Arabidopsis thaliana: one gene and its partner. The protein of the gene in region 1 interacts with the protein of each later gene in a biochemical or structural test. Each region holds a gene or a part of one and is shown on either strand. Other genes may lie near its edges.

Region 1 (17,384 bases):
TTATTACTGTTAGCGATGGCGTGATTGGTTGTTTTGTTCCTCGTTTTAGTTTCATGTCGTCTTTGAAACGACGCCGTATAAGTTTAAACATATGTGACGAATGTATAAAATTCATCTTTACTAGCTCTCATAATTAATGAATTAATCAAAAAAAAAATCAGTATCCGAAGTTTTACTACCGATAATACTAATTGAATGAAGGCAATCTCTTATATTTTATGTTTCTATAAAATAGAAGAGATTCTTAACCATGAGAGATAAATGGTTAAGAATGATAGATAACTAGATATTATGAGAAATTTTTAGATAAAACCTTTTCAAGAAACTCATTTTCGATATAGGAAATAAAACCATTGTCAATAAACATTGGAAAATAGATTGGGAGATTATGGAAAATCAGTTTTTTTTTTTGTCTCTTATAAAATAGGGTGATTTGCAGATATAGCATTTTTTTACTAAATAATTAACTAACTAACACCATAAATTTGTAAATGTAATAAATAACCTTCAAGGGGTGTGAAAAGACATCACTGTCCTGATGTTACGTTTGTCAGCGAGGAAGGAAAATGTTTAGTGTGAGGTGACGTGGCTTTATTATTAGTGTTGAGGTGAGAAAAGAAATCAGGTGGTAGGAGAGAAGTTCCTTTTTCTCTTTCTTTTTTCTTTACCCCTTCCCAATTATAATTCATATTATCTAATCTTTAAAAAATTAATTCAAGTTCATGATATATCAATTAAAAGTTGTATAGTTTTCTACATATATCATGACTTAAATTTTTTAAAACAGACACAAAATAATTTAGATGTGAATAGTGTTGTCAATGAATAACATAACGTTCTATATAGATACACAATATTTTTTTATGGAAAGATATTAAACCCTAAGGGATAATATATAGGGAACCCAAGGGTTTAAATCTAAACCAATAATTAAATCACTTAACATCCTTAATCAAAACAAATAATTCATTTTAAAACGTATATAAAACAAAGTATACGTAAATAGTATATTTACAAATAGAATAGTATCTCTCAAATTGCAACAACAAAACTCAATTTCATCACCAAGACACCAAGCGCAACAACGAAAGTCGATTCCCTGAATCCAAATTGTGTTCCTCCCTCTGTAATTCGAAACCCCCAAATCAAATCTCACCCAAAAGTAATTAAGAGACTCTGATTTGAAAACAAAAACAAGTAACAATGTAGGTGTAAGGACTTTACTGGGGAGAAAGAGAGAGGGGGAGGGAAAAAGAAAGAGAGAGAAAGAGAGAGGGGGAGAGAGAGAAAGAGAGAAAGGAGAGAGAACGGAAGATAGAGGTACACATAAAGAAAGATGAGAGAAATAGATAGAGGGGTAAACTTGGAATTAATATACAAAATATAGAGGATATCATTTTTTTTTTTTTGATGTTAGTTCCTTAATTATAAATTTTTTGTTGGTTAGTTTTGCCAATTCCCCTATAAAATAGAATTAATAGAAAACCAGCTGAGAACATGAATGAAAAAAAAAAAAAAACTGGTCCAAGACATAGCATTGTGTCTTAGTAATCTACTGGTTCCTATTCTACTCATGTAGAAGTAAATTAATAAGTAAACAAAACAAAAAAGAGTTTAGATAATGGTAGAGAATTTGGTCGCGGAAACAACTTCAAATTCGGCCTCAATCATCAACGTGTCTTCTTTGTCCAAGTAAGTCTTCCGAATTTTATCTAAGGAAAGAAATTTACACCAACCGTAACCAAAGTTTGATCCCTTGTGCCAGTAGTTCACTGCAAGAACAAAAAATGTGAAACAGTTATAATGAGAGTAATTAATATCTCAGTTTGTATATCGAAAGATTATAAAAAGTAATAAGATAATAATGCAACTGTCTTTTAGTAATTACATCGGCTTGCCACGTGATTGGATCCAAGCGGGTTTAGAATTCGCACAACTACTTGCGTGAAAATCTTCTCATCTGGTTTTAGTGTTTCATTATCAGCTAAATAAAGAAACACGGATAAATATTTGCCTTTTGCTCTAGAGTTGCCCTTCGGAAACAGCTTTAGAACCCTACAAAAGATAAAATTACGAACATTCATACACACATGTCTATAGAGATACATTTTTGTTAACGATTTTTATATAGATACTCACCATTCCCTTCCTCCTATTGAAAATCTGTTTGGTTTGGAACACTCATTTTCTTTCCACTGAGAAAAGTTCTTAACACTCCAAGTGACCTTGGGATAAGAGAGTTTCTCATCATGAAAAGAGAGGATTTCCCAATTGGTAAGAGGTGGAGCAACAATGACATCAACACCAAACTCACATTCATTACCCTCGAATAGGTATCCATTTTGCGGTTAATGAATGTTTCATATGGAAAAACTTTTGGCAATCCCCACACCATTTTAAGTGCATCGAACCGCTTTATTTCAACATCTGAAAGATATATAAGATACATCCATTACTGATTTTAAATGTGAATTTATAGAAAGAGAAGCATGAGATGTATACTTCACCTTTAGTAAAGTACTTGTTTTGTTTCTTGTTGTAGACAAAGAAGCGGAGTTCCGCAAACACTTCAGTTGGTGGTTTGGATTCCATCAAGCTTGAGCTGTCTAATTCCACGTACATCGAAATAAATCCACTTCCATTGTCCTTTACGTTCCCTTTCGGATATATGATCAATCTCCTGTTTTTTTTTTAAAACAACATATTGCATTGGCTATATAAGATATAATGATTAATGCTAAACCCTGAAAATACAATTATCCATACCAGTTATATCACCAGAGGAGAAAAGACGAGATTGGTATTTATGACCAGAGAAGGAAGTAGTTTTCTCAAGTTGGGAGAAGTTGTGAATCTTGAGAGAATAAGAAGAAGGAGGATGATCTCTCCAGTTTTTCTTGATAGTAGAAGAAACTGGTGCTGAGCATGATGCACCCATCTTATTCTACCCAACACAATGCAAGTCTTAAAAGTTAAAACTATGATTGATTAATGTATAAATAGGATTCTTGGGGTGTCAAGATAAACTATTAGGGTTTTATAAAAATTATCGCTTAACAAAAAAAACAAAATACATTTTATAGGGGGAGAGGAAAATAAAGAGAGATTTACGTCTAAATACTTGTAAACGCATCAGATTATTTGGCATAAGTATTTCATTTCTTGGAGAAGATTTTTAATTTGTTGGTAAAGTACATATCTTTTATAGATAACTTTACACCAGATTTCATCAGTTGTAAATAACCCATTTTTTCTCTAAGAAGATTTTCATAAATTTTGTGATATTAACCTTTAATATTAAAAAACGTAAAACATGCGAGAAAAAAATTATGATCATGAATAAAAATATTACTACATTATTAATTATATAAAAGTTTACTTCGTAGATGGCAAATAATGCATTCTGTTGCCAAATATTGTATAAAATTCTCCTAATATTCATGTCCAGTTTGAAAGATTAAACAGTGTGCTACTTGAGTGGCTTAACTGGAGAAATTATAAAAGAAGAGATTATTTACGTATAATCAAAACGTTTAGAGTATATCATTATGGAAGCAACAAAGGTCCTTCTAGTAAAAACTCAAACAAAATATATAACATATTTTCTTATAAAAGCAAATTTATGGAAAACTAGAGAACTCAAATTATAACAAACTGGTCCAGGACATATAGCATTGTGTCGTAGTACTATAGTAGAAGAATGGTAGATGACTGATATTCTAAAAATAAAAAGTAGAGGTTAGATAATGGGAGAATACTTGGTTGCAGAAACAACTTTGAATTCGATTTCAACATTCAACGCATCTTCTTTGTCCAAGTAAGTCTTCCGAAGATTAGCTATAGACAGAAAGTGATCCCAACCCCAACCCCTGCTTGATTCCTTGTACCAGCAGCTCGCTGCAAGAAAGTAAAATGCAAAACATGGTTAGTGAGAAAGACAATTTCAAATGAATATCTCCGTATATATAAGAAGACTTATTTTTTTAGAAAATACATTGTACTTCGACGTGATTAGATCCAAGTGGGTTAAGAACTCGCACATGTCCTTGCTTGAAATTCTTCTCATCTGATTTTAGTGTTTCACTATCAGCTAAATGCACATATAGGGATAAATATTTGCCATCTGCTCTAGAGTTTCCCTTTGGATACAGCTTTAGAACCCTACAAAACATTAAGTATGGACTTGTTAACATTCAAATACATGTGTATACATACTTGTTAGTCCATAAACAAAATTTAGCAAAATTATTTATACTTCTCACCATTCCTTTCCTCCCATGGGATATTTGTTTGATGTGTAAACATCCTCTTTCAACTCAGAAAAATTCTTAAGATTCCAAGAGAATTTGGGAGGAGAGAGTTTCTCATCAAAAGAGAGAATTTCCCAATTAGTAAGGGGTGGAGCAACAAGGACATCAACACCAAACTCACATTCACCACCCTCAAAGATGAATCCATTTTCAGGATTAGTAAATGTATCATATGAAAGAACTTTTAGCAATCCCCACACCATTCTAAGTGCATTGAAACGCTTTACTTCCACATCTAAATATATAAACATCGCTTACTCAATAATATGTGAATTTATACGTAAAATTTTAAAGAAAGAGCATGAGATTTGTAGTGCAGCACCTTGAATAGTAAAGTACTTGTTTTCTTTCTTGTTGTAGACATAGAAGCGGAGTTCCGCAAACGCCTCAGTTGGTGGTGTGGATTCCATCAAGCTGGTATTTATGATCAGAGGAGGCAGTTGAGTTCTCAAGTTGGGAGAAGTTATGAATCTTGAGGGAATAAGAAGATGGAGGATGCTCTCTCCAGTTCTCCACAATTCTAGAAACTGCTGCCGAGCATGAACCCATTTTACTCAATGACGTCTTCTAACCCTAAAAACAATGTATATATATATATATATAATCTCTTTTTTTGGTAAATATATATAGAAGAATCTTGGAGTTGGGGGTATTCAAGAAAAAACATTAATACCCCCAACTCCAAGATTCCCAAAAAGAAGAAAAACCTGTGATTTGCTTATACAACTGTTTCTACATAAAAAGTTGATTCTTTAAAGTTTAATAATGTGATTTGCGAGAGTGGAAAGGAATGGATAAGCACCGTTCTCTGGCTTAGATAGCTTTGATTGATATAGCAATAGCAGACTTACAGTCCTCGTACTTGATTTATCTTCTCTTGTCTTTTGTTACATGAGGCTGCAGAAACTCAATCAAATTTAGTATTAAACCAGTGGTGATCACATATAAATGATTTGGGAATTCACTATGCACCCTTTTGGAAGAATTTGTTCTAGCTATCTAGAAACAGATCAATTTGTTCAGAACTAGCAAAAGAAGTACCTCATCATCAGATGTGTATCATCAAGTCTCCTCTTCTTTTGGGGTACCACATCAACCAAACCTACACAAAATTATGCACATAAGCACTTATTGTTTTAATAATCGTTCACCGGATCGAGCCATTGTAACAATATGTATACCACAAATGATAGAACCTTACTTTTACTTCCTTTTGTTTCCTTAAGATCTTTCTTTTCCTTTGATACGCGAAAAAAGTCAAAGCAAAGGTCCATCATGGAGGTCAAGTCCTGTTTGATCACACAGTCCTAAATCAGTACTTTGAAGATTGAATTGCATGTTAGAGAAACTGGTGCTACTTACACAATGAAATTCAGATTCTGATGTCCCACAAACTTCAATCAACCTAAGCTTGTCTACCTTAAGCTACTTCAATCACCCAAATCAATGCACACATAAGTCTTTAACATTCCATTATACCTAGATGCTGCGATTTCAGGACATATAACAGCTTTACAAATCTCGCCCTGTGATTCAATTAGTCAATACAAAAAAAATTCAATTTCAATGAAGAAGGAAGGAGATTGTATCATTTTGGATTGAGTGTAAAGAGTTATCTTACGATTCCGATGATTGAAGAATCGAATTAGACATCGCATAAACGGCCAAATTCTGCAGCTTTTCGTATGAGAAGATTGTTATTATTAGAGAGACCAAGCTTTTTAGCTACGTTGGAGATATCCGTTAAGCAACTGTGTGATGCACAGATTAGTCCGTTAAGCAAATGCTCGCTCTGGTTATATATCTTTGATGATGTATATGGGTTTGATCAATAACAGGCAAATCAATATTTTCTTTTCAAAACGGAAACAAAATGTTTATAACTTACCAGACTACAGAACAAATAAGAAATGCTGACTAACAGAAGAAACGATGCGAAATAAACAGAGGGACCGTGTAATCAATCCAGACTTTTTTACGCTAGATAGCGGTAAAGTTTCCGGTCTGTATTATCCCTCTCCAAGAAATCACGCTCAATGAGTGATTCAATTCTCTTCTTTATCTCTGTTGGGTTTGCCAAGAACCGCGTCTGCAACTGTTTGGTGACCTCTGCGATTATGTTGTTGTGATCCAACACTCGTCTAGACTTCATTATCCTCACGATGGCTGCTTCGATCTGAGGTTTTCTGTCTTCTTCTACTCTCTGTCTTGTCTCTTGCTTCTCTGGTTCTGTCTCCTTTTGTGCCACCACAGTTCCTATCTTCACTTTGTAGAACTTGCTTGCGAACCTGTCGTTCACAACAAACCAGTCCTCCTCTGCTATCTCCTTGCTCATTGGTTCTTTTCTTAGCACGTTTTTACCTTTTACACACGCCATTGACTGCAAGCAACGCTTTAGGTCTGGGGTGGGGATTTCAGTTGCCTGTTCGATCTCTTTGTAGCTTAGTCGATCAGAGTTGTTGAACAACATAAGGACACACATTTGGAAAGTCGAAACGTTTAGTTCATGCTTCTGACCCTTTCCAAACACTGCTTTGATATCTGCTGTTCCCATATTCGTTTGCCAAGACAATCTCCTACCGGTGTGAGTCCCGAGGTAATATGACCTGAACTTCTCACACAGAACAGAAACTTCTGCAGGTAGGTTACATTGTATGGTTGGCTGTGTGGGCCAAGAACCGGTTGTGAGAACCTGAACAACAAGTGTAGGTCCTTCTGAAAGCTCGGGATGGCTATTATAAAATCCTAGCAGCGTGTCGTGTGAGGTCTTCATGTCAGTGAACATACCTTCAAGTTTCGAAGTGAATTGATACCCACATTCCGTCTTCAGTTTCACTATCAGATTCCTCTCTGCATCATCCGACACAGTTTTTCCAGATAAAAGCCTTTTCGCCAGATGCTGTTTGTAATATTTCTCAAAAACGTCTTTCTCCTGTAAGTAGCGAAACAACATCATCACCTTATCAAGAATAAGATCGACATCCTCCTCTCCCACACCTTTTAGTCCTTTTCGTAGCTTATCATCAACAAACAGGGAGATAAACTCAGGAGAACGTGTGTTCAAGTTGACGAAATACTCAAACGAAGAATTTAGCGCATTCTGGAACGTCTTATCGTTGTTAAATGCCATGTTGATAATTCTGTCATACTTATCCCGCTCATCCAATAGACGCTGCACAAATTCAACCGGATCCTTTGATTTCTCTGGATCAGTAACCAACTGTTTTCCCATTTCCCTAAGATGCAAAGTCATAACATCTCTAACCGTTACAAGACCATTAGCAACCCTACGGAACAAACTATACATTCTACCCATATCCTCATACTTATCATTCAAAAGCATATTAACCAAACCTGAATTCTCCATATGAACTAGTCTCTGCACATGGTTAGCAATCATCTCTCTTTCAACCACACTAGTAATCTTCGCTTCGCTCTTAGCATCCAAATAATTCACAACCCTTTCGACTTCTTCCACTAAAGGCTTCTCAGCTTTCTTCAAATACTCACCACAATCACAAGACTCAATAAACTCCATTGACTCAACCTTATAAAACTCAGCAGAAGCTTCCAAAAACGGCTTCTCAAAATCATCTTGATAAACAGATTCACCTAAATCCATAAACATCTTAATCACATTCCTCATCAACACCCTATCTATAACTTCACCAGTCCGTTCCTTATGAACTAAATCAAGAAGCGTATTCAATAGCCTAGTCTGAATCTTACTCGAATACACAACATTATCTCTCCAGAGATGAAGTCCAAGCTCATGAACATGAGTTTTCTTAGTAGTAGAAACGTAAGTACGATCCATATACATGAGAATATCCCTAATCATTTGCAACGCTTTGTTATGATCATTCCATTTCCTATTAAGCAATTCTAAAAATGCTCCTCCTTGAGCTTCTTCAATAGACTTACATATCTCTTTGAGATGAAATGTCATAGTGGTAACAAGTCCAGTATAAAGCTTATCACCATACTTATGTAGAACCATGTTGTATGCGTTTCTGAAATAAGCGACCAAAGTTTAGCAGAACAACAACAACAAGAGATGAATCAAAGTGAAATCTATGGAAGTGTACCTGTAAAGCTCTTCGAAACTGAGACCACTAGCGTTGTGATTGTAAATCTCATGAATCGCATGTTCAAGGATCTTCCAAGTTTTATCGGCGTATTTTGGATCAACGACGACTCGTTGCTTAAACGCTTCAATCTGGAAATTTCTCTTCTTCTGATTACTCATTGTTGAAAATGAAACTGAACCAAAAAGTAAGAGAGACCACAAAATCAGTTCAAAGGAAAATCGGAAAAAATTCGAGGAATAAATCATGATGATAGAAGAATTGATTAAAACCTTAGATCAATCGTAGAATCAGAAATTGGAGGTTAGGGTTTGTGATGAAGAATTTGAAGGTTGAAGTCTTGAAGACGATGATGATGATGATTGATGATGATAGCGGAAGAAAAAAAATTAAATCTTATTATTATCCCAGTGGTTTTGATTATCTCTATTTGTTTAAAATGGGCTAGATAAAACAGATGGGCCTGGGCTTTTGTTAAAAAAAACTACGGTATTAATTTAAACGATGTCGCTTGGTAATTCTCATTCTTCTCAATCGTGAATTTGCAGAGTGCAGACATTGTTGATTGAAGAACGCTAATCGTTTGTTTTTTTAATTGTTTGCGTTAAGTTAAAGCTACTTGTTGGGACGTCAAAGCAACGCTTCTTTCGATTCTGACTTTCATATAAATACTAAACTCCAACTTTTTGATTTCTCTGCTACTTTTGTTCTTCTCTTTTACTTCCCCAGATACATCAATCGATCAATTTGGTACTCTTCTCTCTTCTCTTTAATCCCTAATCGATTCTGTTATGTTTGTGAGTGCATTTTTTTTTTCTGGCAAAGTTTAGTTTTTTGAGGATTTTGTTTTTTGAATGTAGCAAAACATGTCTGTTGAGTTATGTTCGGTGAGGCCTTTGTTTGGTGGCGCTATTTCCACCGTCTTCCCTCAAAGATTTCAGGTTCTTTCAATAAAACCCTTTTCGCTGCTTAATTGAAATTCACTGGTTTCCTCATTTCTTCCTTATTGTGAATCTTCAGGATGTGAGTAATATCCGACAAGTTCCAGATCATCAGGTTTGGTGGTTCTATTCTCAGTGGCATTGTTTGTAAGTACATGTGTAGAAGAATCTCTAGTTTACTCTGTATTTGTGTTTGATTGTTTGGTTTTCACAGGAAGTGTTTGTGGATCCTTCAAGAGATGAGAGTTTGATTTTTGAGTTGTTGGATTTCAAGGCTGAGGTTGGTGACATTGGCAGTGCCTCTTGGTTCCTTAATGATCTTGCGAGTGAGCAAGATGCTGAAGGATTTCAGGTAATACCACTACTACACTAGAACTCTTCTTATGGTAGACAAACCAACTTTAAGAACTAGTGTTGTTATTTCTCTAGAATACATCTAGTATCTTGAGTACAAACATAGAGTTTAACGTGTATAGATTTCCCAAAGTTGGAACCTTTTTGCCTGTGATGATACTAGTGAGGCTGTTTTTTGGTTATTGTGGATTCAGTCTCTGAAACTAGTCGAAATAGAACTAATACTGGTGTGTTTTTGGTTAATCTTTACCAAGATTGATGATATATATGAAGAAGACAATCTAGTAATGTTGCTGTGTAATTTTCAGTTGATTGAGCAATCAGAGGTCATTGAGGCGCCTGGACTGTCTTTCAGAAACATCTCTGCTGTTGCGACAACTGCTATTGGAGAGATGGTAATGTCCATAAACATATGATGTCTTTGCTCATAATTTTCCTTTCTATTTGTTTTCTCCTTAACAAGGATCATTACAGGCTATATCCAAAGGAAGACAGGGAAGAGAAGCACAAAACCTAGTGAGAGTATGAAGCTTCTCCTTGTTCTGTCTCTCTATTTATTCTAAAGGGGTTTGTTACTTGAGACACCAACTGGTTTATATGATTCTGCAGGTATATGTGGCAAATATTCGTCTTAAGGGAGTTGATACAGATGTCTTAGTGACTGCCTATGAACCTATCCTGATAAAGTAAGTCCCACAAAGTTGAGTCACTCAGTTATATTGCAAGCAGTTGAATATAGATATGCATCGTTTTGATACAGAACTTGAATATCAAAATATGGTTATTGTTGTTGTTGTTGTACCACATGTCTTTTCATCTAAGGTGTTTGCGTATTATTGTGCAGTCCTCTGAGCGAAAGCGCGGATGCTGTGGGATCTGGTTTAGCTGTCCCAGCTTCACAATCTGGAAAAATGCCAATGTGTGATATCATTAAACAATCACTCTCTACATTCAAAGTCAATGACTGGAATCTTTTCGGTTCCTCAGCTTGAGTCTATGCGAAATGAGAAGACGATTCAAGCCCCTGCCAATTTGGTGTAACCTAAGGCTGCAAGAAGTTTGCTTTGTTAAAGATTTGTAGTTATTCTTTTGGTCCTGTTAGGTTTAGTAGTTGGAACTTTCTCAACATGATCTTATTTCCATTATGTAAAATGCCATTTGGCCTTTATCTTAATTGCAAGACTGCAATCCACTGTTTCATTTGTTCAATAAGTGAATGAGTCTTGCTAGTTGGTAGGCAACGTTCTCCACTTTCCCATTTCCTGCCATTGTAGGAATCAATGACTCCATCTCCTGTTTCATTTGCTTCCTGTATTTTGCGTTGTAGGAGTCAATGGCATCATCTTCTGTTACATTTTAGTGAATGCAGTTTAGGAGATAATATAGAACAAGTGTGGCTGGATCATGAAGTTTTTCCACAATACGTAGCTACAAATTCTTCAAACTTCTCGCTTATATATTTCCCCTTAGATATGGTAAGTGCAGGACTCCATTGCTCTTTCAAAATGTCGAGGCAAATGCTTCCGTTGCTGTTGACAAGTCTTTTAAACATATGATTTATGGCATTAACTGATGTACACACAACAAAACATAAAGACTCATGCGCCATAGCAATGTCCTGAGACTTCTCTCTAGCAGAAGAATGCATGAGCAGTTTGAGAATCTCAATCCTCTGACTCTATTGAGACCAACAATATCGACTATAAACATCCGAATGAAACGTCTATAAAATTAATACTCGATAAATTAATAAACTTGATAAATTGATTTTTTTGTCTTTCTATTTAGATAAAAGTTTTGAAGTCATGTATTTTAATATTGTTAAAGATTTTGCGATGACCAAAAACTATACACATATGTAATATTCAATTTTAATTTTAATTTTAAAACTTTTAGTTTCGATTTTATAAGAAGTTGGTTCAGAAGATTAAAAAAAAATGGATTTCTTTTACCATTTCGGCTATGGGCCATCGCATCCTTTGCTTGCATACTCAGTCATGCCCCGACTCTGGTCATTTTCCTCTCGAATGGTCATAAACCAGAGTCTTAATTTTCTATCTTTTCTTACATACATCAATATACATCTCTTTTTTTTCCTTGAAAAAAATGATACATATACTTTTAGACACGCATTCTACAGAACTTGTCCGAGTCTTTTCTTCCTATTAAGAGAATGGAAATGATTTGAAGCAGACTGACGTCAGCCCTAATAGAGATTGGGAAACGAGAATACGGACGTCGGAGAGTGATATGGCGTTGTCAGCCTCACCCACCAAAATCGGCCATGAATCTATTTTCCAGTTTCCACTAAACTTGTCTCACGTACATTTAAGATTTTCGATATATATATATGTACAAAAGTGTCAACCGTATTTATTTATAATTTTACTCGGCTTATAAAGTTACAAATACGTATGATCATACAATGTGTTTTTATGGAGGTACACGTCGAGATAAAAGAAGTTTTGTGAATATTTGCCGACACGGACGTTGATAGGCTTTGCGTGGTTTGTGTGACCACCAATTTATAGAAAATATTATTCTAAATTATGATAAGTGGTACGTATAGCCCTCGGGTCAAATAGAGATGGAGAGAGAAAACGACTGAAAGAAACTTGATGGTTCCTCAAAATCACTATGTGGTATTTCTCGTAATTCTCTAGATGTTGTTGGGGTGCAGATCTGAAATATAAAACTTTTAATAAAAAAATTTCTCTCATTTTACTTTTATAATTCAAAAACGAATGAAGAAAACGCTCCTTTGGCAGCTCTTGTCCCCTTTACATATGAAGTAATATATATATTTTTTCTCATACAACCAAGCAAAACTGGTAATTCCCACAAGAAGAAAAGTTAGACAACCTTAAATATTGATAGAATATTTTTTCTTCCCTAAATTATTTAGTCCTAGTCCTAGAGTTTCTCTAAATTCAGCTCAATTGAATGCTCTTTCATTTAGAACAAAACTATATATAAATTATTATTGGAACAAAAGTGCATTAAAAACATGTGATCAAGGCCAAGATTTTTTTAAGAAAAAATATAGTTCTAGATTAAACGAACCAACATAATGTTTGTTTTAGCATAATACATATATTTAAAGAATGTTAAGCCAATAGCACCATATTAGTAAAGTTCTAACACATAAGCCAAGAGCACTATGTTAGTAACATATTCGCTTGTACGGAAGAAAAATTTTTAGTGGAGAATGAAATAGTTCTAATTAGTAATTAATGGTCCAAGAGGACTACTAGAAATATGATGTGATATTTTTGACATATTACAATATATTATAACTAGAGTACTGCCGCGGTTTTACAGAAGTAATTCGTAATAATAATTTTGTAAGGGAAAATAGCAGCTATATAAGAGTAAATGCTTCTGTCTTTTTGTGTGAGATATTCGCAATATGCAAAAATGTACGTATATATGATGCAAACATGCACACACAAAAAAATGTTACTTATATTTGTATTTTGAGGATTGAGCTGTGTTGTTGTTGTTTTTGTTCGATGATATTCCTCTTCCAGCATTTACATGTTAGTGCCCTCGTCTTTTTCCTCACTTTAGTTTCCATTATCTAACATTGTTTATCTAATTATTGATTAAACTTTAACCATTAATCGTTTATATCTACTATAATTACAATAAAGATCACGCAACTGAAATTATATACACGTATATATCATAGAATATGATATGCCTAATGATATATAATAACGATTCCCCAAATCTTATGTCCATACGAAGTTTTTTTCTTTTTTTTACAACGTCTAAAAGATATGAAGCTATTTAGGCCTTCAATGGAGCACTCAGAACATAGTGGATGAAGTGCGTATATTTATGACCCATTCAACAATTTTTGTGCTAAGAATGGTTGACGTTTTTTTTTTTTCTTCGAAACTTATATTTTGTGTACATGGGCCATTTAAGTATATGTGTGTGAGTGTGGTTTTTTAATTTGAAATATTTTAAATATGAAGAATTTAATAAATTAGTTTTATCAATCAATACAACTTCTATTTCAAGAACAATTCCAATGCTTAAGTTAATATAATCTCAGAAGAATTTTGTTTTATTCCACACCCTTTGCTTAATTATACCTATTTCGTATGTCATATTCGCAACAATATTCTTCTTTGTCTCGCCCGATCCGCTTGCTGGCGTGACTGTCCGTTTTGATGTCACTATTCTGACCTTTAGCCTACCAACGATGTGGAGCACATAAGAAGAGTATCGTACTAGAGCAAAAGAAAGATGATGGTATTAATCGTGAATTTATAATATTGTTGTTACATGGTGATGATTAATGTCGATCAAGAGTCCGAAACCCACGTCAAATTGGCTAAAAATTACAAAGGCTATGTAAAGTGCTCATGTTGTGTTGTCCTACGAAGGCTAAATTGTTGTCATCTTTCCTTTGAATGTTATTGCTGATCAGATAACCTACGTACTTAAAGCATAAATCGATAACGGAAACAAATCTAATTTATAGAATCGTAATGATTACTTCTTGGTCGGAATCTCATAGATGTTTTATATGCTAGCTAAGAAATAATCATCGACCTGTATTTTTCTAAACTACAAATTGTATTCATTGTTACTAGCTAATAATAACGATTGCTCTGGAAGTGAGAACGTCACAGTTTTAAAGCAAACTAAACGTGGATCCAAAATTTATAAATCAAAAGACATGGAATAATTATAAAACGATGCCAATAATATAATGTTGTCAGTTTTAACATGTACTTAATAATTAGGAAGTATTATTTCTAAAGAAATTCAAAACAAGAGATAAAAACAATTCCTTTGGACCTTAAAGAAGAAAAGATGATAAGAGATCATACGAGTATCTTATATGGGTATATATAGTCAGTATATAGATATATAAAACTAACCTTAATAACGTCCAATATTCCAACCAAGTAGTTTTTACTCTATCTAAATAATTTAAGAGAGATGAAAAAAGAAAAACTAAAACTTGAAGATAACATATGGGAGAGAAGGTGAGACATCAGTATCACACGGTCATGGAGATCAGAGATGAGGTACAAGTAAGAAAATTGAAGATATATATATACATAGACACACACACGCATCACTCTTCTGTCTTGTTTTTTGGAATTTTTTACATGTACGTATGCATTTTGTATGCATTTACGTACATGCACATGTGCTTGTACACGTATATAGCTGTCTTATTTTTGTATAGAATTAATGCAAATGAATATATCGCTTAAAACTTTTGTATAGAATTAATGCATATTAGTTAATTATACACGTATATGTCAGAAACATAAATTTTAAAACTAATAAATAAAATTAATGTCATGTTATCGAAATAGTATAACCATATACTAGTTAGTACTTACTAGTGATGAAAAAAATAAAATATAGTTCCAATGGAAGTGAAATTGATACATAAGATGTAAAAGTAGATAGACAGTTGTAGAAAGAAACAAAAGGAGTAGAGACATAGATACGAAGAAGGATATATGTAGAGGTGCAGACATGAATTATGTATAAATATAGATTATATATAGATGCTATCAAAAGAAAAAAAATGTATAGAAATAGATTAGATAGGGTCCAAACACAAACAATGAATGATGAATGCTAGGGTTCCGGATGCAACGTGATTATGTCGCTAGCCGTAGTGACAGTTCATGAGAGGACAACTTTTATGTTGTTTCTTCCTATCTCTCTCTCCTAGTCTCCTTCTATGCAATTATTTCTAGCACCATAAGTAAGTCAAATCAAAACTTAAGGTTTTCTTCAAAACTTTTGCTTATATTCATATTGGAACCAAACCATATTAGATCCAAAATAAACTAAGATCAAAAGTATGAAAATGGAGAGTAAGTGAGTCTTGAATGGTCGATATGAGACGATCAAGGTAAGGAGAGTGACCGCTCAAGTCTATCGATAAACTAGATAGGAGAGTCTTAACCAATCATATATATTCTCTGAAGAACCTCGTCCAAACTTGATTGGTCGATTAACACGAAAAGTTAGACTGATCAAGTTTTTTTTTGTCCAACGCTTGGTTTTGATCGTTGATCCTCAATTTTGTTTAGAATTATTCTTTGTTATATTTACGATGGATCCATAATGGTAAATCATCCTTTTATAACTATGGCACCGGACTTGAACTTTGATTTCAATCGTTTTGACCTAACTTTGTTTAGATATTTCTCGACCAAACTGTGTTTGATTATAAGTTGTAAATAGGGGACTATTGTCACATGGGTTATACATGCCAATGTTATTCCTTTCATTACCTATCTATCCAACATGGACAATACATGGCTTTCAATGCTCTTTATTTCTCTCTCTACATATACATATGTCTGTGAATTACTTGTCGTCGTTTAATATTTTCATAACCAAAATTAACCATCAAAAATCAAAATTAAATAGTAGTTGGTTCTCGTAATGTAAAACGTGTATTTATAATTATGTGCATGTTAAGTTGTCTGTACCAACGAGACGAGACACATAACGAAACATATATAATAGTTAAATATATATAATCACTACACTACTTATAATATATGGGGGTTTCAACTTTGAGCTGACGTAGTAACGTGGATCCCAAAAAGAAAAGAAAGGTATAGCGTATTGATCACTAATCCACAATGATAATTCTTAGTGGGATTATATCGATCATGAGTGTTATATGATACAAGATCTAACTAAACTGTATAATGTTTTTAAAAAGTATAAAACTTTTATTTGTCAACAATTAATAAACTTTATTTAGATCGATGGACTGGCTGTTTTTAATAAGCTTAAGGAAACATGATTTTTTATTTGTTGATAGAGTGGAAAATCACCAATTGTGCTTATTTTGTGGACAATTTGCTTATTACACTAAAATCACGACGTGTATATTTTTGGCTGATTATGTGTAAATAGTCTTTTTGAGGTTTATTTACAAAAATGATATGGTTAAGAAATCGTAAACAAATAGATATTGACTTTTATCAAATGATATATGGCAACATGAAAAACAATGTGTCATGGATTAAATAATTCGATCTTGTTTATATGCATTTTAAATTTAAGTCATTTGCATAAAAACATATGAAATCACACCATTCACTTATTTACGATATGATCATCATATTATTTTACAAATATACTCCAAAAATAGGCTTTTACTTGCATATATTCTATTTTCTTTATAACAATGTTTAGATAATGCATAATGTTTAAAAATAAAAATGGGATAAATGATATAAGCAATAAGAGAGTATGGGTTGAAGATCATTGATAATTTGATATATCGTACAAAAACATTAGGAGGGTGATGCAGAAATATAAAAGATCAGGGGCAATATCAAGAAAATCTAAAGCAAGGTGGAGGAAAAAAAAAAGAGAGGAAAGAAGCAGAAGTGGAGCTGCAAAGGCAGTGAGGCAATCATTGCTGGTGAATGTGGATGGGAGCCCACCTTTTTTCTTTTAATTATTTGTTTCCCATTTCCTTTCTCCATTTTGTATACATTTTTTTTATACTCAAGTGTATTTTTCTTATATAATATAAATGAGATGAGTTGGAAAATAATACAATGTAAAACCTGTGTATTCAATACTATAAAGTATGGATATTTGGTGTCGGTTTAAATTTTTTCTTAATCTAGTAAGTAGTAAGTATGTATGTATAGTTCAGTATGGTTTTAGTGTCAGTT
Region 2 (16,942 bases), about 15 Mb from region 1:
TAAAGCGATTAAAAGAAGCGGTTGGAATAAGTAGATTGTTGTAGAGAGATGTTGGGAGAGAAAAAAAAATAAGACGGTTGGATTTGTTTTTTATTTATTTATAAATTCACATATATTAATCATAATTTAATTTCTTTTTATTATTTTTATTTCAACGTTCCTATTATTTGACCGCTTGTTATCAATCATAACCATAATTTTACAGCTCATTTTAATTTATTCACCTTCTCTTCTGCTTGCTCTAACAATTTTGTTCAACAACTGCTAAAAAAACTGTTAACTATATTTGTGAACGATGTTATCAATGGAACCCTCAGTCGTTTGGGTTGAGGAAATTAGAAAGTAACATTATTAAGTCAGGGAGAGGTTACAAAAAGAAGGGACAATAATAGGTAATCAATAGGGTTGTTGCATTCTTAATTTGACAAATTAACTACCACTGATTTTTATAATTACAACAAGAGTTGACCAATTGTAATAATAACACTCATGATGTAATGACAAAATTATATATTGCATGAGTAGTTTGTACATTATATTTCGTAAAAATGACTAATTCAAGGACCCCATATAATGATATATATACTCTACTTCTTAAGTAAAGTTACCCAAGTTTTGTTCCAAAAAAAAACGTATAGTTACCTAAGTATGACTATTAGAAGGGGGCTATTTAATTTAAGGATTGTCAAGAAATATTAAAAACTTTTCAAACAAGTGTTTTTTTATAATGTTAATTTATCCTCTTTACCTTTTAATTCAAATGTTGTTTTATATATAACTTAAATTTTGTTTGCTAACAAGTATAGCTTTAGGTTTTCAATATAGATTTTTGATAAAACTATCGTTTTAATGTATGAATAATGAAAAAAAAATAAATATAATAATAACTTAATAAGGGGTAAAATCCAAAGTTTGTTTTAGAAAGAAAAAAAAATATGTGAAAATTTTAAATGACACTTACTGTGGAACAGGTGGAGTATTACTCTTTAATTAACCACATTTTAGGTTATATTTTCCTAGACAAAGAATCCATAGGGATAAGGAGTGAATCCTGAACAAAACCCAATTGAGCCCAATGAATAAAAAAGACATCCAAAGTAGGTTTGAAGGAAAGGATAGTCCATGCTCCCTCCATGTAGAGTGAGTGATGGTAAGTAAATGTGTCTTATGAAGCTATCGACACCAAGTTGGAGATAAACAAAATTGAAAAGCCAATGTACGTATGATGTTGATTCAGGATTAAAAATTTATAATATGGTTATAAAGTAACATATATCGTGGATTTGAAATCTGAAAAAGTCACGTACTGTATGTTGAATATGTAAGGTGTGTTAATTGTAAATCATTATATAATAACAGGTTCAAAGAAAACGAGTAGCCACCTGCCGATGCAAATTTTTTTTTGCCAATTACAGACAAATCAAAGATTTGGGATTGGAGAGGAGAAGATCTATTGAAACCGACACATTAGGTCCAAAACATTTCATTTTAATTATTATGATTTAACGAAATAGTAAAATACATATATCAACCTTTTTGGTCCGGTCCCTGTTCTTACGTCTGTGATCATAAAGTATAGAGTGATTTTTTATTTTTTTTCATTATACAAATTACAAATGACTAATTTAATTAATTAGTGAACTTTTAATTTGTCGATAACCAATAAGAATGATGGAAAACGGCAAAAGAGTCGACTGTTGAAGTTTGTCGGAAAGACACTCCACCAAAATATAAATACAAATCTTATCACTAGTGGAAACTGTCGAGTGTGTGTAGTTCTCTTTTCCTTCTAATAAAAGAATATTATCTTTCTAAATTCTTCCAAATTCATTTTGGAATTTTCTTTCCTTTTTCTTTTTGTTGACATGAAATTTTGGAGTCTTCTTCTATCGCCAATTACGACTAAAAAAACGATTTTATATATATCAACATAGCTCTAACAAGAACATGATAATCGCAAATATACATAGATTTGCCTATTTGTACACAAGCAAAGTTAGTTTTAATACTCAGTATATTACATCTCATGAAAAGAATTTACAGTTTTTTCTATTAAAGCTGTGGGAGTTTTCTTCTAAAATGTTTTTTTTTGTCGTCCTTGTAAAATGTTCTACATTCGTCATTTTCAGGCTATCTTTGATTTCGAAAGCTGTGGGCGTTTTCTTTTTTTAATTTTTTTAATTTTTTTTTTTTTTTGTCTTTTTCTACGAAAATAAAATAGCGTGCACTGTATTGTTTCTTTCAACTTTATTTTTTGACTAGTGAAAGACTAGACATTTTGTTGCCCTGCCCCTATATTTTTTGTGTTTATTTTAAGGTTGTTTTTTCTCTTTTTATAATGACCGTAAAATGAGTTTTTACAAAATCTGCTTCAAATATGTAATGAAAACCTTGATAATATGTAAATGTACTAAAAACAAAATCTTGATATGGGTACATGTGAAAATAGTATATTTCTGTTCTAAGAATATACTGTTTTATGTTCTAAAATATCAACAAATAGATATCTTTGCATTTTTTTTTATACATCAATATTAGTATTACCTACATTGTCTAAGAGATGTAACCCAACTTATGTCGCAACTAGAACTACATCTCAGAAATCACCGAGCCGAGAGAAAATTGTAAGAGTCCTCGACCAGCAAAACGTAGGAACATCAACTCAAAGCAGTCGAGAATAAGAACCACTGACTTGCATCAAAACAGAAGATCTAACCACACCACACAGAATCCGAAAAGAAGACATCCACCATCGTTTAAACTTTCAACCCTTGACCCAACCACCGGTGATAAAGACTTGTCCATTATAGTTTACTAAAGTTTATGATCAAACTTAAAATATCTGTTGTTAGATTGATACCTCTAATTCCTTTGAATTGCTTCTTAGATTTCCACTTTACCCTTCCACGATTTTTAAGCAATGGAAAATTAAGTTTCATTTGTTTCAGATTTTAATATTAATCCCCTTCTATGCAAATTGAGGGACCACGTAGAAAGTTGTGAGAATCTCAATACACAAAAGATATAGAAACAATGATTACATGCACAAGCACGAGGCCATAAATTTCCTTATCCTATACACATTTTCAATAAAGATGTAACATTCCAAACAGAAAACCCTCTTGTAGCTCACTCTACAAAAAAAAGAGTATAGAATTCCAATATTAAAGTTTATAGGTCGACTATTTCAAAACCAATTGCTATAAAGTAAATTGATTAATATTTTTATACTCTCTTCGATTTATAATATAAGTTGTTTTGGACCAATTTTTTTGTTTTACAATTAAATTGTTTTTAAGTTTTTATGCAAACTATATATTTATTTTAATATTTTATAATTATTTATATTATGCAGTCTCTTTTGTGATTGGTTGAACTTTTTAAAAGTAAATATTCTTAATCTTCGTACTTTTAGGTAAAACAACTTATATTGTGAAACGGAGGGAGTATATCATTTACAATTTCTCTTTATTTAGTTTTGTGGTGATTCCGAATATTAATTACAACTTGTACCATTTAATTCAACCATATTCGAAGAAAACATTAAAGGCAAAACAAATTAAGGGGAAAAAGAAATCAAAAGTTAAAAAAAAAAATTAAGACCAATGAGAATAGATAAGGGGTAAAAGACAAAAAGAGAATATAAAAAAAACAAATAGCATTTGGCGCCAAAAGTAAAACTAAAATGGTCATGTCACGTGATGTTAATTTTTGCTCTACGACCAAAGCAAAACAAACCTAAAGTTTTCCAAATCTCTGGGTCCCACTCTCAGATGTGCTGACTTTTATTTTTTTTACTTTTGTCTTAAATCTTTGGAAATTTTCAGTTTTAATTTAATTTAATTCATCTCTCTTTCTCACTCTATAAATCCCCACAGATCCGTCACACTTCACCTAGAGACCCTCCCACAGCTTTCTCGATAACTGACAATCCAACGGTTGAGATTCAGTTCTTCTAGATAAATTCACATATCCAAAGGACACGTGGCGGCGAGAGATGAAAGAAAGTAGCCGGAAGCAAGGAGCTGCGTCACCGTGTGCTGCGTGTAAGCTTTTGCGGCGGCGGTGCGCTCAAGATTGCGTTTTCTCGCCGTATTTTCCGGCCGATGAGCCTCAGAAATTTGCTAATGTTCATAGAGTGTTCGGTGCTAGCAACGTCAACAAGATGCTTCAGGTTTCTTTCTTCTTGTTCTTCTTAAGAATATCTAAAACGTGCTTACTCATATGTTGGGTTAGGTTTAATTAGGATGATTTTCTTGTTTCTTATTTTAGATGAGACATTACTATCATTTCCATAACTTTTTATTGACAACTACCACATGGGCCGACCCGTTTATATTATAAGTTTAGGGATTTAAAAACAAAATTGTTGAATTTTAAGAATTTAGGAATATGTTACATTTATTAGCTGATGTTGAATTTTAACCATATTAACTTTTGTTAGCTAATGTTAATGATATGATTTACATTTCTTAGCTAGCTGATGTAGAGTCTACATTTGAGATGGATTATATAAATTTTATATAGTCTTGCGAGATTAATTGGTCTAGTGGCTGACAAAATGTTTTAAAAACTCAACAGGAATTACCAATCCACCAGCGAGGGGACGCTGTGAGCAGCATGGTTTACGAGGCTAATGCAAGAGTGCGGGATCCGGTTTACGGTTGCGTTGGGGCAATTTCGTCCCTCCAGCAACAGATAGATGTGTTGCAAGCTCAGCTAGCTCTAGCTCAAGCTGAGGTGGTGCATCTACGTGTACGCCAGTCGACTAATTTCCCAGGGCACGGACTATGCCCGGATAGTCCGAGTAGCAGCGGGTCACCGTCTTCGAAGCAAGTGAGTCCACAGGACAACAAGGGCATGTTTAGCCATATGGACATTGTGGATGAAGCCAGTTTGGGAGAGTCTATGTGGTCTTGCTAGTCAATAATGCTCTCTTTCTGCTACTGCAATTTCCTCTTCCTTTTTTGGGAAATTTCGGGATTATTATATATTAAATTTAGGGGTAGGATATGAAAATGCTCTGTTTTGACTACAGAGTGAAATTATTAACATGATATAGATACATAAAAATACTAAATATATTTATATATTATAAATCTCTCTCTATATATTTATTAGTATTTGTAACTTTGTAATTCCGGGGTATTTGGGATTTGGTGTATGTGTAGGACCTTTGGATCATGATCCGGTAGGGTTATTTTGATCATTTCCAACCGAGGAGGGATCTTTGTTATTGACCTAATGTAAATTTGTGAGATATATTATTTATCTATATCTATATACAATTATGATCATGTAACCCATGGTGTGTGCTTGACTCTGTGAGCATATTATCGTGTAATGGTCATCTTTGATACTAGCTAAGTCTAGCTTAGCAATTAGCACTAAGCACTTGTATGGGCCTGAATTTTTATTATGCAAACTTATGGCCCATTTGTCTTTATTTTTTGGTTTCCTTGCAAACATTTGCCATTTGATAGTCGCTGATAGAATCGCTCGCATATGAAGGAAACAGAAAGACCGGACCGGAGCATGTGCTTGTGGTAAGAAATTTACAGTGAGCTTAAGAAGAAACACAAGTAATTTAGTCTATTATAGTTCAAGAGCTTCTCCTGCATTCATGCAAATGCAAGAGTGGTAAAATAGCATTATACTAAGTAAATTTGGTTATGCTCCTGTGCGTTATATCAGGATATTCCCTTCAAGCAATTGAGCTTCACATAGCAATCACTAGACCGCAAAATCACAATCTGTCAATCACCATTTTAGCCATAATTCTTTCTACTTGCGCAATCCAAATTTTATAAGGTTTTCGACAATGCATTGTTTTTCAATAAGTACAATGGAAAACAAAGAGATTAGAGAGAGTAACACAAAAGCAGAAAACAAGTTCCCTTTTTAAACATCCTTAGCAATGAGATCACCATTGAGAAACTCTCTGTAGGCAGCAACGGGCCAAATGAAACCACGGAAGATGATCCGACTAGCCAAAGGAACATCGATGATGATCTCTTTCATCGCGGGTTTCTTCTCACCACTAATAGCTATTAAGTAGCTTCTTCCAACCCACCCGATCCATCCAGCAATGTAGAGGAAAAGAATCCCTGGAGTAATGAACTCTCCCCAATGCCGCTGGTCTCCGTTCACTATCAAGTGCGGTAAACCGTCTGACCCGCATAACAATCCGTACTTCCCGTAGTTGTCGAACCTAACATACATTCATAAGCACATCAACTTCAAACCAATCCACAGTTCCACAAGCTCCTCAATAGATCATATCAATGATCAAATTTAACATGTCTAGCAACTTCGAAAACTCACTAACTCACCAAAAAAATCATACTAAAGCAATGGATCTAGCAAGTAATTCACTAAAACAGAGAAAAACTCTGTTTCAGAACAGAGGAAAGCTCTGTTTCAGAACAGAGAAAAAGCTCTGGTTTAACGAAGAAATAGAAATGGAAGACGAACCTGCGTTTGGTTTTCTCGATCTGAGCATTGAGAGCAAGAGCAGGGGCAGATTCAGGAGCGTAGAGCTTAAGAGAAGATTCAAGCTTCTTGATCTGTTGCTTCTCTCTTTTAGCGAACTGTTTTGAGTCCTTGCAAGGAGTCAAACCTGAGATATCAGCGACAGCTGGCATAGGAGCAGAGAGGAGGATGGAAGAGAGGGCGACGGCGGCGGAGAAAGCTTTCATGGATTGAGGTGTGGAGGAGGAGGATTTGTCATCGGAGCAGACGAATCTTGCGGAGGATTTAGGTACGGATTGAGTGAGAGATTTGTTAGATCTCGGGTTGAGAACGAGATTCGCCGGGATAGTGAGCGACATGGCGCTTTGTCGGGTTCTTTGGAGATTTCGAATTCTAGGGTTCTGGAGTTTTGGGTGAAGTGTGGAGAGAAGACTTATGGGAGGAGCTTTAGATTCTTGAGGGGATTAGTGGAGGGAGAGGAAGATAAGAGAAGTGGTCTTGGGGTGATGAGGTGGCGTGTTGTGATTGGTTGATAAGTAACATGTCACTGGATAAGAGATTTTGCCGCGGATTTTAATAGTTTTGTCATTTTGATGTTCAAGATATGTGGACTACACACGACTTATCTTTTATTTATTTTTAATATCTATACATATTATATATACACTGAAAATAATCATATATATATATATATGTAGCAAAAAAAAAAAGAGATGTAGTTTTTTAGTCCTGATTAGTTTTTTTTTTGGCAAATAGTCCTGATTAGTAAGACTGCAAAATTGAGTCTTTTATTGGTTAACCACATAATAAGAAAATGGGATCATGAGTTTGCAATATCAAAGAATTAAATCTATATATGACCAAAATAAACATTAGCAGAATTACAACTCCTTCTACCATTCCGCCGGAAGGAGGCTACATTTTTTGTAATGTTTGTTTGAAATGCTTCACAGATATCTTCTGATAAGATCTCTTGATCTGTCTCTGAAGTCTCAACACCTTAATTAGGGTTTCATCTCTTAAGATATGCTTTTCTTTAAAGTTTTACCATTTTTTCAATGTATTAACTGTCTATTTCCTGGCAGAAGAAACAAATTTCTTCACATTTACCCATATATATATTGTTTATAGCAAAAATATTTCGTCTTTTTTTTTTTGGTCTAATTATATCCGAGAGGAGAATTTGGTTGTGTTACCACATCATACTTTGAAGTTTGAACTCGTTGAATTAATAACACGCAGTTCTGATATATATTATTCTTTTGTGAAAGAAGTTCTGATATATTTCTAGATGTTTTTTTTCCTTTTTTTTCTTTTCTAGATGTTTCTTATAGAATAATCAATGTGTAAACCATTACTAGCTTTCTTATTTACATCAAAGAGATAGGAAAATACACAAATAAAGAAGGAAATTCATCCCAAGAAAACTAAAGACAATCAAAAGATTACAAGTTACAACAATTCACAATAAGTCAAACAAAAGCATCTTCCAATAGAGACAAGCAAGACAGACAAAGAAGAGAAAATGAAGGAAAATCAGACGTTGTGAGAATTGTCGGGCTTGGCGTGTGGAGACAACGGCGGAGAGGAGGCGGCGATAGCACCGGGAGGCGGAGCTGGAGCTCCATACACCTGAGGATTTGTACGGATCTCACGACGGCCGCGAGATTTTCCGAGGAAGTAGCAGCCAAATCCGAGAAGTAGACAGAAGAAAATTAGAGGCAGAGATATGACCACAACCAAACCCATCGATCTTGACTCTTGAGATCTATGTTCAATCTTCTTTCTGATTGATTTTTATTCTTGGACTCTTGTTCTTGCTTTGATTCTACTTCACATGTATTTATATGTATGAGTTTGTGGGAGGCTCTGGAAGGATCCGATTCTGTCCGCAACGTTTATGTCTTGTAAAGCTTTAAAGCTTAACGTTTAAATCTCAACGGTCATCTTTTTTTTTGGTCGGCCCATCCATACGATTTCTTCTAGTTTTTATAATCACATTAGTCATGTCTCATGTGCTTTTCTGGCTATGAAAGTATAGAGAATCAAACTCAAGTTGACAAGTTAAGTTACTTAGAAAATTAAAGTAAAAATTGTTAAATGTGATGGACACTCATTGGATTTGACGATTTGTAACCACTATTTCATTGTAATGCAAATAAATATGGGACTATTGATGGACTCATGCAACCAGCAATCTCAATCGGCCTGGTCCGATCTTACACATAGCTCGATCCTATTTTCACATGTCTAGCCTCTTTCTTGAATGAAAGATATTCATCATAAATAGCTAAATCCCAAATAAATATGTTAAAGTACGATTCGATGTTAAACAAAACAAAATGATTCGATATTTAACAGATTATTGGTAAAATGATCCAAACCCAGTGAAACAGCATAATATTCAAAGTATCATATCCAAATTGCAATCACTTTTTTCCCATGAACTCCAACAAGCCATACAAAGAGAAAAAGATATCTTCAAGAGTTACTTCTCAGAGAAGACCAAAACCACCCCTAAGGGCAAGAACCAGATGAAGAACAGAGCCTCCCTCTATGTTGTAGTCCTTTGCCGTTTTGTCATCAGCTAGCTGTTTTCCGGCGTAGATTAGCCTGCAAACATCCATGAGATATATAAGCATCCTAGAAATACTAATGAGAATCACTGTTATATGAGACAGCATAGATTATCAGCTTGCACGCAGAGTAGAATCGTTTGATGCCAAAAGCATAAGTAAACACACTCGAAAGGAGCTGCAATTTTCTCAAGAGGGAAGCAGCCAGTCACTAAAACATGAAAATCAAGTCAATGAACCGCAACTTATACAATCAAGTAAAAGAGCTGAGCTGAAAGGAGCTGCAATTTTCACAAGAGGGGCAAGTCACTAAAACATGAAACTCAAGTCAATAAACTGCAACCTATCTTATACAATCAGTTTTGACTCAACCACACAAACAACTCTAAGAGAGCTGAGACAGATATCACAAAGAGTTAATATAGTTCAAGACTCAATGTTCCCAAGGCAAAAACTTTGCGACTCAATTCTTCTGAAGTAACTGGAAAAAAAGAAGTTATTTACCTTTGTTGAACAGGAGGGATACCTTCTTTCTCCTCAACACGTTCCTTAATCCGATCAATAGTATCGGTTGGTTCGATATCAATCTCAATTTCCTTCCCTGTGAGAGTCTTCACCTTAATCATAGTCCCACCCCTAAGCCTCAATACCAAGTGAAGAGTCGATTCTTTCTGAATGTTGTAATCCGCTAATGTTCTACCATCTTCAAGCTGCTTACCAGCAAATATCAACCTCTGTTGATCAGGTGGTATTCCCTCTTTGTCCTGTTTTCATCAAATCCCATCCATTCATAAACCAATTAGAAGAAGACCAAATCAAAAGATCATTAACAATAATCTTAATCCAATCTTCTTAAACTCAGAAACAATTAACCATTCTCAAGCAATTCACATACCTTCAAGTGTACCATAAAACATAAACAAATACGAAATTAAGCAAACACATGAAGGATTAAGAGAGCCTTTGTGCTTACTGTTACACAGAAATCTAAAGAAATCTTAACATCGATCGCTAGATAATCGGGGAAAGAAAACCTAAAAATCAATCAAACAAAGCAAACCAATCTGTGTCTCCAACAATCAAACAAATTCATAGTGCAAAACCCTAGAATCCTAAGAAAAGCACGAGGAGGTGGAATTGGGAGACGGAGAAAGAGAGAAAGAGAAACCTGAATTTTGGCTTTGACATTGTCGATGGTGTCGCTGCTTTCGACCTCTAGGGTTATGGTTTTTCCGGTGAGGGTTTTGACGAAGATCTGCATTTTTTTTTTCCTTTCTTCGCTGAAATGGTGTTTATGAATATTATTACGGACGGGAAAAGTATTATATATATACAAATAAAATTTGGGATATAGTTTTGAGGATTTTGGAATAAAAATACTTTTTGAAAGATTTGGAATAAATCCTTTGATAGAATTCGTAATTAGCTTTTGGGCTACGCTATTATTTCTTCTCCATTTCTTATATAATTTTACTAACAATTTTAAAAATTATCTTTAAATCAAATATATTAATGTGGCTTTAAATATATTGAGATTTTTTTGTTTGTTTGTTATTTTAGGATATTTAACTTTTAAAAACAAAAATTAAAAGAGTTTTTAGATTTTGTACTAAAATTAGTTTTCTTAGATTTTAAGAAAATATGGGGACATTGAATTTTTTTTTTAGTTTTAGAACCAAAAACGAAAACAACAAATTGTTGACATTCAATTTTGTTGGAATCTAGAGCTTAGTGCAAAACCCACTAGTCTCTACATACTATGGACCATGTTGTGGCAGTGAGTGGTTTGACGCGAAACCTCTTAAATACTATGGTCAAAGAGATCAAGCTATGTTCAATTTTAGACGGTGATAAACCTGAAAGGTCAAATGGAAGAATCTTAAAAGCTCGACAACATTTCATTGGACTTGAATGGGTTGTCTCTCTAGCTAGCGTTTTGTTATTATAAACGCAGACTCATCGTGAAAGAATTCACCCTTTCATGTAGGTATTGGAGACGCTTCACGCTTGTTTGGACCATATGTGTATCCCAATGGCATCATACCAAAATTAAAGACATCTCTCTAACCGTTTTCTTCTCAACCACTAAAAAGCCTTTTCACCATCTTTATTCAAACTTGTTCACATATAGAACCCATGTGATTTTAAAAGTATGAACCATATGATAGATTACAAGATGGTCCACATTGACGTGAAGAGCTCATATAAAAGATGGCCTTTATTTCTTGTCAATTTATCACAAAGAGGTCTCTCATTAAGCCCAATGGATCGGATAATTTTAAATCCAACCCAATAGATCACTTTTCTCAATTCTCTATTCTAAGGTTTTTAAGCTTTGGTTTCTACATATAAATTCAATTAATTTTCTGCTGATTTTTTATTTTCACTGACATATGTTAGCTTTCTGAAAGTTGGTTTCAGTCAATTGAAAATTGAAATCAGTTATTCAACACCACAATAAAGATGCAACGAAAAAACAAAAACAAGTTACACATAGCTAACGCCTTACAATGCATGAGAGGACTTTATAAAATAGGTGATTCTTATCCATATTTTTGTATGTCTACATCTTGAGTTGTTGAATAAACGTGGTTTGTTCTGGTTTACTCCAAGTTGGTGAGTCTCTTAACATTATAGCATCACCGATGGCTTTTGGTCAGTTTTGGTATGCTTAATCAATCTCCATAAAATAGAACAGATAATAGGTAAATGAACCATTATAAATCTCATCAAACTTAAATATTAACTTAAAATCAAATGATAAAATGAATCGACTCCCCAATGTATATATGAATAAAAGGTTTAAATGCATGTAGCGGACGAAATTCGCTAAACGATTAGCGAATTAGATTATTATATTTTTGGGATAGATAACAATCTATTGTATACCAAATTTATTTCTATGTACAAACGGATCATAGTTAGTCCGCATCAGATTTGTTATATTTTTTGACATGTACTACTATAAATTATACTAGAGGTTCACTCCATAAACGGATTCGTCCACTCCAACTATCGTAACCATTCGTATCCAAAATTTTATTTTATTTGATATGTGAAATTTCTAATAATTGTACGTTGATTCATAAAGGAGAGAGAGATATTCCATATTTCCACAACCAAACAGATTTTTATTTTTAACTACGAGTTGAATAAAAATTATATAAAGTTGTATACCATAAATTAAGATTAAAAAATTCTGACGTGTATTGTCTTTTCATTTGCAGTGCAGGTATTAAAAAATAACGACAAGATGACACTTTTCCACCAGAAAAACGGGAAAACAGAAAATAAAAAAAGTTCCGTATACTAAAGGAAAAGAATAATAATAATAATAATAATAATATCACAAAAAAAATACGTCAGCAAAAATTCGGTTGACTCATTCTTGGTAAAACATGAACCGAAACCGGTTCAAGTCCATCAGGAATCTCAACATTCCAAATCTTCGCCGGCTCCGCCGCAACATCCACCACAACAATTTTCCCATCACCAGTAACAACACAAAGTTTACCGGAATCCGCCGTTACTTGCGTAGCTCCTTTAAGCATCTCTTCTCCACCTTCAACCACAACCACTTCTCTCCACTCTCTCTTCTCATCATCGTACTTTCTCACTGTCCCTCTCCTCTCATCCACCGAATAAAGAATCTCCTCCTCCATCGCCGCAACCGGGCCTCTCCATCCAACCAACATCTCCTCCGGCATAGGTTCCCAATCATCTTTAACGACGTCGTATATAGCTCCTTCTTTAACCGCGTCTCCTTTAACATTTACCATTAAAAGCTTTCTTCTATATCCAACAGCGTCTATAGCTTCTCGACTAAACCGTAAATCTCTCATATCTCTCAATTTCTCCCAATTAAACCGGTGGTTATTCCGGTTTTGTTCGGTTAGATCTAATTTCTCGACAGATTTCGCGACGGTTGATGAGAACTGAGAACTAATTCCGCTTGCGATGTAGATAGCTCCGTCGCAAGCTCCGGTGGCGCACCACCGTCTTGGAGATCCGATTCGAGGACCGGAGCTCCAGGATGACGAAATTGGATCGAAAATTAACGGGTGAGAGATCGCCGGAGAGAGTTGTTGGTTACTTCCGGCGATGAGAATGAGTTTTCCGGCGGCGGAGACGCATTGAATCGGTAAATTAAAGGAGATAAACGACGGATGACGGTAAAGAATCCGGTGAAGAGGCGGGTCAGGTGGTGGAGGAGGAAGCGGATACCATTTTGAAGAAACCGGGTTGAAACACATAAACCGGACTGACGGGTTGACCCGACCCGTATCCGATGTTGAATCGACGAAAAGAGCGTAGAGTGACGGAAACGAAGGAAATTCCGGCGAGTAAAGAAGACGGCGCCACCGTGTACACACGGCGGAGAGTAACGACGGACGGTGAACGAGAGACAGACAGATCTCTGAGATGTGATCGGGAAGTCCTTCGATTAAAGCGGAGTTTTCATTTCCGGTGACTGTTCTTCTTCGTTTCGCCGGCGGTGATTCTGCGGCGGTGGTTGACATTGATTCACGCCGTTTCAGTTTTTTTTCCATCTCTCTCTTTTTTTGTTTTTGTTTTTTTTTGGAGTTATTAAAGAGAGATAAAGGAGGCGTGAAGTGTAATGAATGAGAGGGAAAAGTAAGTAAAGGCGTAGGAGCCATACATATATCAAAATCGAAAAGGCCAAAGTTGGAAAGTGTTACCATCTCTATCATAAATACGTAAAGCTAACTTATAAAATTAAAATTATACATTTATAGCATCACATATGATTATAGTATTCAAGTGGCTATAGAGAATTTTATCAGTAAAATAATATTAGTTATATTTGATTATCTTATACAGTATTTTAGTTTCAGAAGCCTATCAAGTATCAACCATTAAACAAAGACGTGAAGACTAGAGATTTTTAGTAAGAATTGTGGTTGGTTTCCATCGAGATCAATTTTTAATATCGAAAAAGAACCGGTGAACAGAAATAAAATTTATTTTGTAAAAACTTAGTTTTGTTGGCTTAAGCTTTTAAAATATGTGACTTCATCCTATTTAAAATATACTCATGAAAAAAACAAGAATTAACTATATTAGGGTTACTTTAGCCTTTTTGCGGATGAGATAAAAAAAAAAAAGCAGAGAAAAATCACCATAATAATTATTATTTTTTAACTCTATCACCATAATTTTTTAATTAAAAAGAATTCTCATAAACATAAAAAATAGATGAAAGAAAAAAAGAAGAAGCTGACAAGTAAGTAAAGGGTAAAGGGGAGAACCTAATCTTCTAATTATAAAATTCTATTGGCATTTAGTCATTATTAACTTATTTCCATTTTCTTCATTGTCAATTTGTCATACAATGCAAATCTATATTATAATTATATGTTATTTTCTACATTTCTATATGAATAAATTTACAAAGTTTCCACTTTCATCTTTGTGCTAGTGTGTATAATCCATATTAATATTATGTGCGCATCTTATTGGATAATATTTTTGTTGATTCATTGATAATTATGATAAGGTCCAAAATCTCCCTTTTTAGAGCAACTTCTATTATTATTTTTTATTTTTCTGGAAGGAAAAAAAAAAGTGACAGAGACATCCGTTTGGTGTGTGATCCAGATCCAGCCTTCTTTTCCCAATCTTCTCAATAATGGATATGCGTTGGATTTTAACGTACATCAATCGTTTCTTTCTCCTGAACGATCAAGTTAGTTTGATGTGTGGTGCACTGCTGCTAAATATTAATTATTCGATGTGTTTATAATCTCTGTCTAACTGTTCATTGTTCAAGTCTTCCTTTTATATAAGTCATTGAATTATAACATAAATTACTATAATTTTTTTAAAAGAAAACTATCCAAACTAAGGCAAGAAGTTATTCAATCTACAATTTTATGTACTTGTGGGTTTAGCTCGAACACTTTAATATAGTATCCCGATTGCTTAAAGATCTTTACAGTTCAATATCTAGTGTGTGGCAGTATAAGAAAATAACTTCAACTAGTAGAATAGTTTAAGAATTGAAAAAGAATACCATGTAACAATTTTATGTTTATGCATAAACTTGAATAAATAAATTTGCATCGCATATGATACGGTTCATTAAAGATATTGGTATAGCATTTTTTCATAGACCTTTTGACGTTTAAATTATAATGTTTTTGAAAGAGGTTAAATGATTCATCATCTTAGAGGTGGAAATAAATAATGTTATGTTTTTTTTAAAAGTGCATTAAGAAAACTCTCCCTTTAGAAATATAGACGAGTTTAGAAGTTTTGCTTGAGAAAAACAAAGGATTGATTTCATTTTAGTTGAATTGGCCTATGATGTTAGTAAAGTGGATTTGTGGTGGCGGCCACCGGGCACGTGATAATCCACGTGGTTTGCGTGAATAATCCGGCGAGAGAACTTTTCAATACTTATATTATAATTTAAGTTTTTTTTTTCCTTTTTATGAAGATTTAAATTTTGTGCTTATAAATAAATAACTTATAAGTTTCACTTTCGGTGCATTTGTCTCTTCTAGTTAGAGGCTAACTTTTGGTAAGACTTGCAAAAAAGTAAACTACTTTTTCAGCTTAAACTCAAACTCAAGAACAAAGAATTTATCTCATTTTAGATTAATGTATATGTTTACCAAATGAGTTTAACACTGAAATAATTATTTTTATTTTTCAATGATAGTAAATTACATGTTCTATCGATTGGAATTTCATTTTGCCATTTATGTTTTAGTTTGAGCTGTAGTTATCAAATGAGTTAACTGATTAAATGATCATAAATGGAGAAAAAGAAAGAAAGAATGTGAGTATATGACTTTTCAAAACGTGATATTGATCACTCGTCAGAAATGTATACTACGTGAAAAAGGGGTTGTGTAATAGTTTTACAATTATATATATATATATATATATATATATATATATAGGTTTAGCTCTTAAGTCTTTCAAGGCTTAGAAACTTCTTTTGGAAAACTTATCTTCAAAACGGATGTGCCTTTCTTATTGCTAAGAGTGTTACTAATGACTGTAGACTACAATCGTATGTTGCGAGTGGTCATCCTTCTTGGCTTGAAGGGGTACTCTTCGCAGAAGAAAGGGTTTGTCCTCTGCTTGAATTTGAGTTTTTGGGTTGTATGGTTCCGGGTGTGGAGTGTGTTCTTTTGTAATGGCCCTTCTTTTGGTAGTAAGAGGCTTAGTGTATAGGCTTGATGATTGTTGAGTTGTTGTTCTCACTTTCAGATGTGTGACCTCTTGGGGTTTATGATGTGAAGTTCAACCCTTCTATTAATATAATTCCAGATGACAAAAAAAATATAGGTGGGAGGCGTCATAACTATATACGAGTGATATTGACTAAACTTGAAAAATACCTTGAACTTTGTCAAAAGAAAAATCTTGATTATTTGATTTTATTATGTATGATATAGGAAAACACACGTATATACACATAACACATGTAATAATCACATTCACATATAGTTATCTATATATATGAATACGAGAGAGCCAGAGAGGGCTCTGGTTGTTCTTTTCTCGAGCGGTGCTTTTGCAAAGGAACCAAGTTGGGTTCATTAAGCTTTGTGAAAACGTTTCGAGTTTTGTTTTCGATTTTCATAAGCTTGCCTTGATCATACCCCTGACTATTGTTAGATCATCTAACATCTATAGTTTCAAGAGGTGCGTGTCACTTTCCACATCGACACTTATTGTCAATTCGATAAGGTCTACCACTTTCTTTTTACTTGTGGGTTTGACCCCTAGTTATACATCACTAGTTAAATCGTATATCTAGCAAATGAGTATAACCTTCAAAAGTTAATCCTCTTATTTCGCGATCCTGCTTTTCGAGATGGGAAGTTGAGACTGATAACTAATGTTTTCATAACATTTTG

Evidence for each region.
Region 2: the proteins of CUL3B (region 1) and RUB1 form a complex in vitro, tested with the Arabidopsis thaliana proteins (one study listed by BioGRID).

The regions. Positions count from the first base shown.
Region 1 is NC_003070.9:26,195,884-26,213,267, forward strand, and holds CUL3B (cullin 3B), read right to left. Parts: upstream 8,913-17,384; 5' UTR 8,671-8,912; intron 8,574-8,670; 5' UTR 8,560-8,573; coding exon 8,399-8,559; intron 8,324-8,398; coding exon 6,286-8,323; 3' UTR 6,103-6,285; downstream 1-6,102. Other genes in the region: AT1G69650 (TRAF-like family protein), read right to left, coding at 1,615-1,772, 1,889-2,055, 2,140-2,324, 2,375-2,427, 2,508-2,657, 2,767-2,938; AT1G69660 (TRAF-like family protein), read right to left, coding at 3,740-3,897, 3,995-4,161, 4,263-4,545, 4,633-4,720; AT1G69680 (ran guanine nucleotide release factor, putative (Mog1/PsbP/DUF1795-like photosystem II reaction center PsbP family protein)), read left to right, coding at 9,265-9,339, 9,419-9,454, 9,554-9,691, 10,002-10,088, 10,168-10,215, 10,303-10,379, 10,538-10,685. UniProt on the Arabidopsis thaliana protein: Component of the cullin-RING ubiquitin ligases (CRL), or CUL3-RBX1-BTB protein E3 ligase complexes which mediate the ubiquitination and subsequent proteasomal degradation of target proteins.
Region 2 is NC_003070.9:11,209,110-11,226,051, forward strand, and holds RUB1 (uncharacterized protein), read right to left. Parts: upstream 10,510-16,942; 5' UTR 10,309-10,509; coding exon 10,216-10,308; intron 9,812-10,215; coding exon 9,552-9,811; intron 9,085-9,551; coding exon 8,967-9,084; 3' UTR 8,586-8,966; downstream 1-8,585. Other genes in the region: LBD4 (LOB domain-containing protein 4), read left to right, coding at 3,998-4,174, 4,582-4,923; PSAF (photosystem I subunit F), read right to left, coding at 5,902-6,211, 6,475-6,830; AT1G31335 (uncharacterized protein), read right to left, coding at 8,008-8,220; KUF1 (KAR-UP F-box 1), read right to left, coding at 12,410-13,705. UniProt on the Arabidopsis thaliana protein: Ubiquitin exists either covalently attached to another protein, or free (unanchored).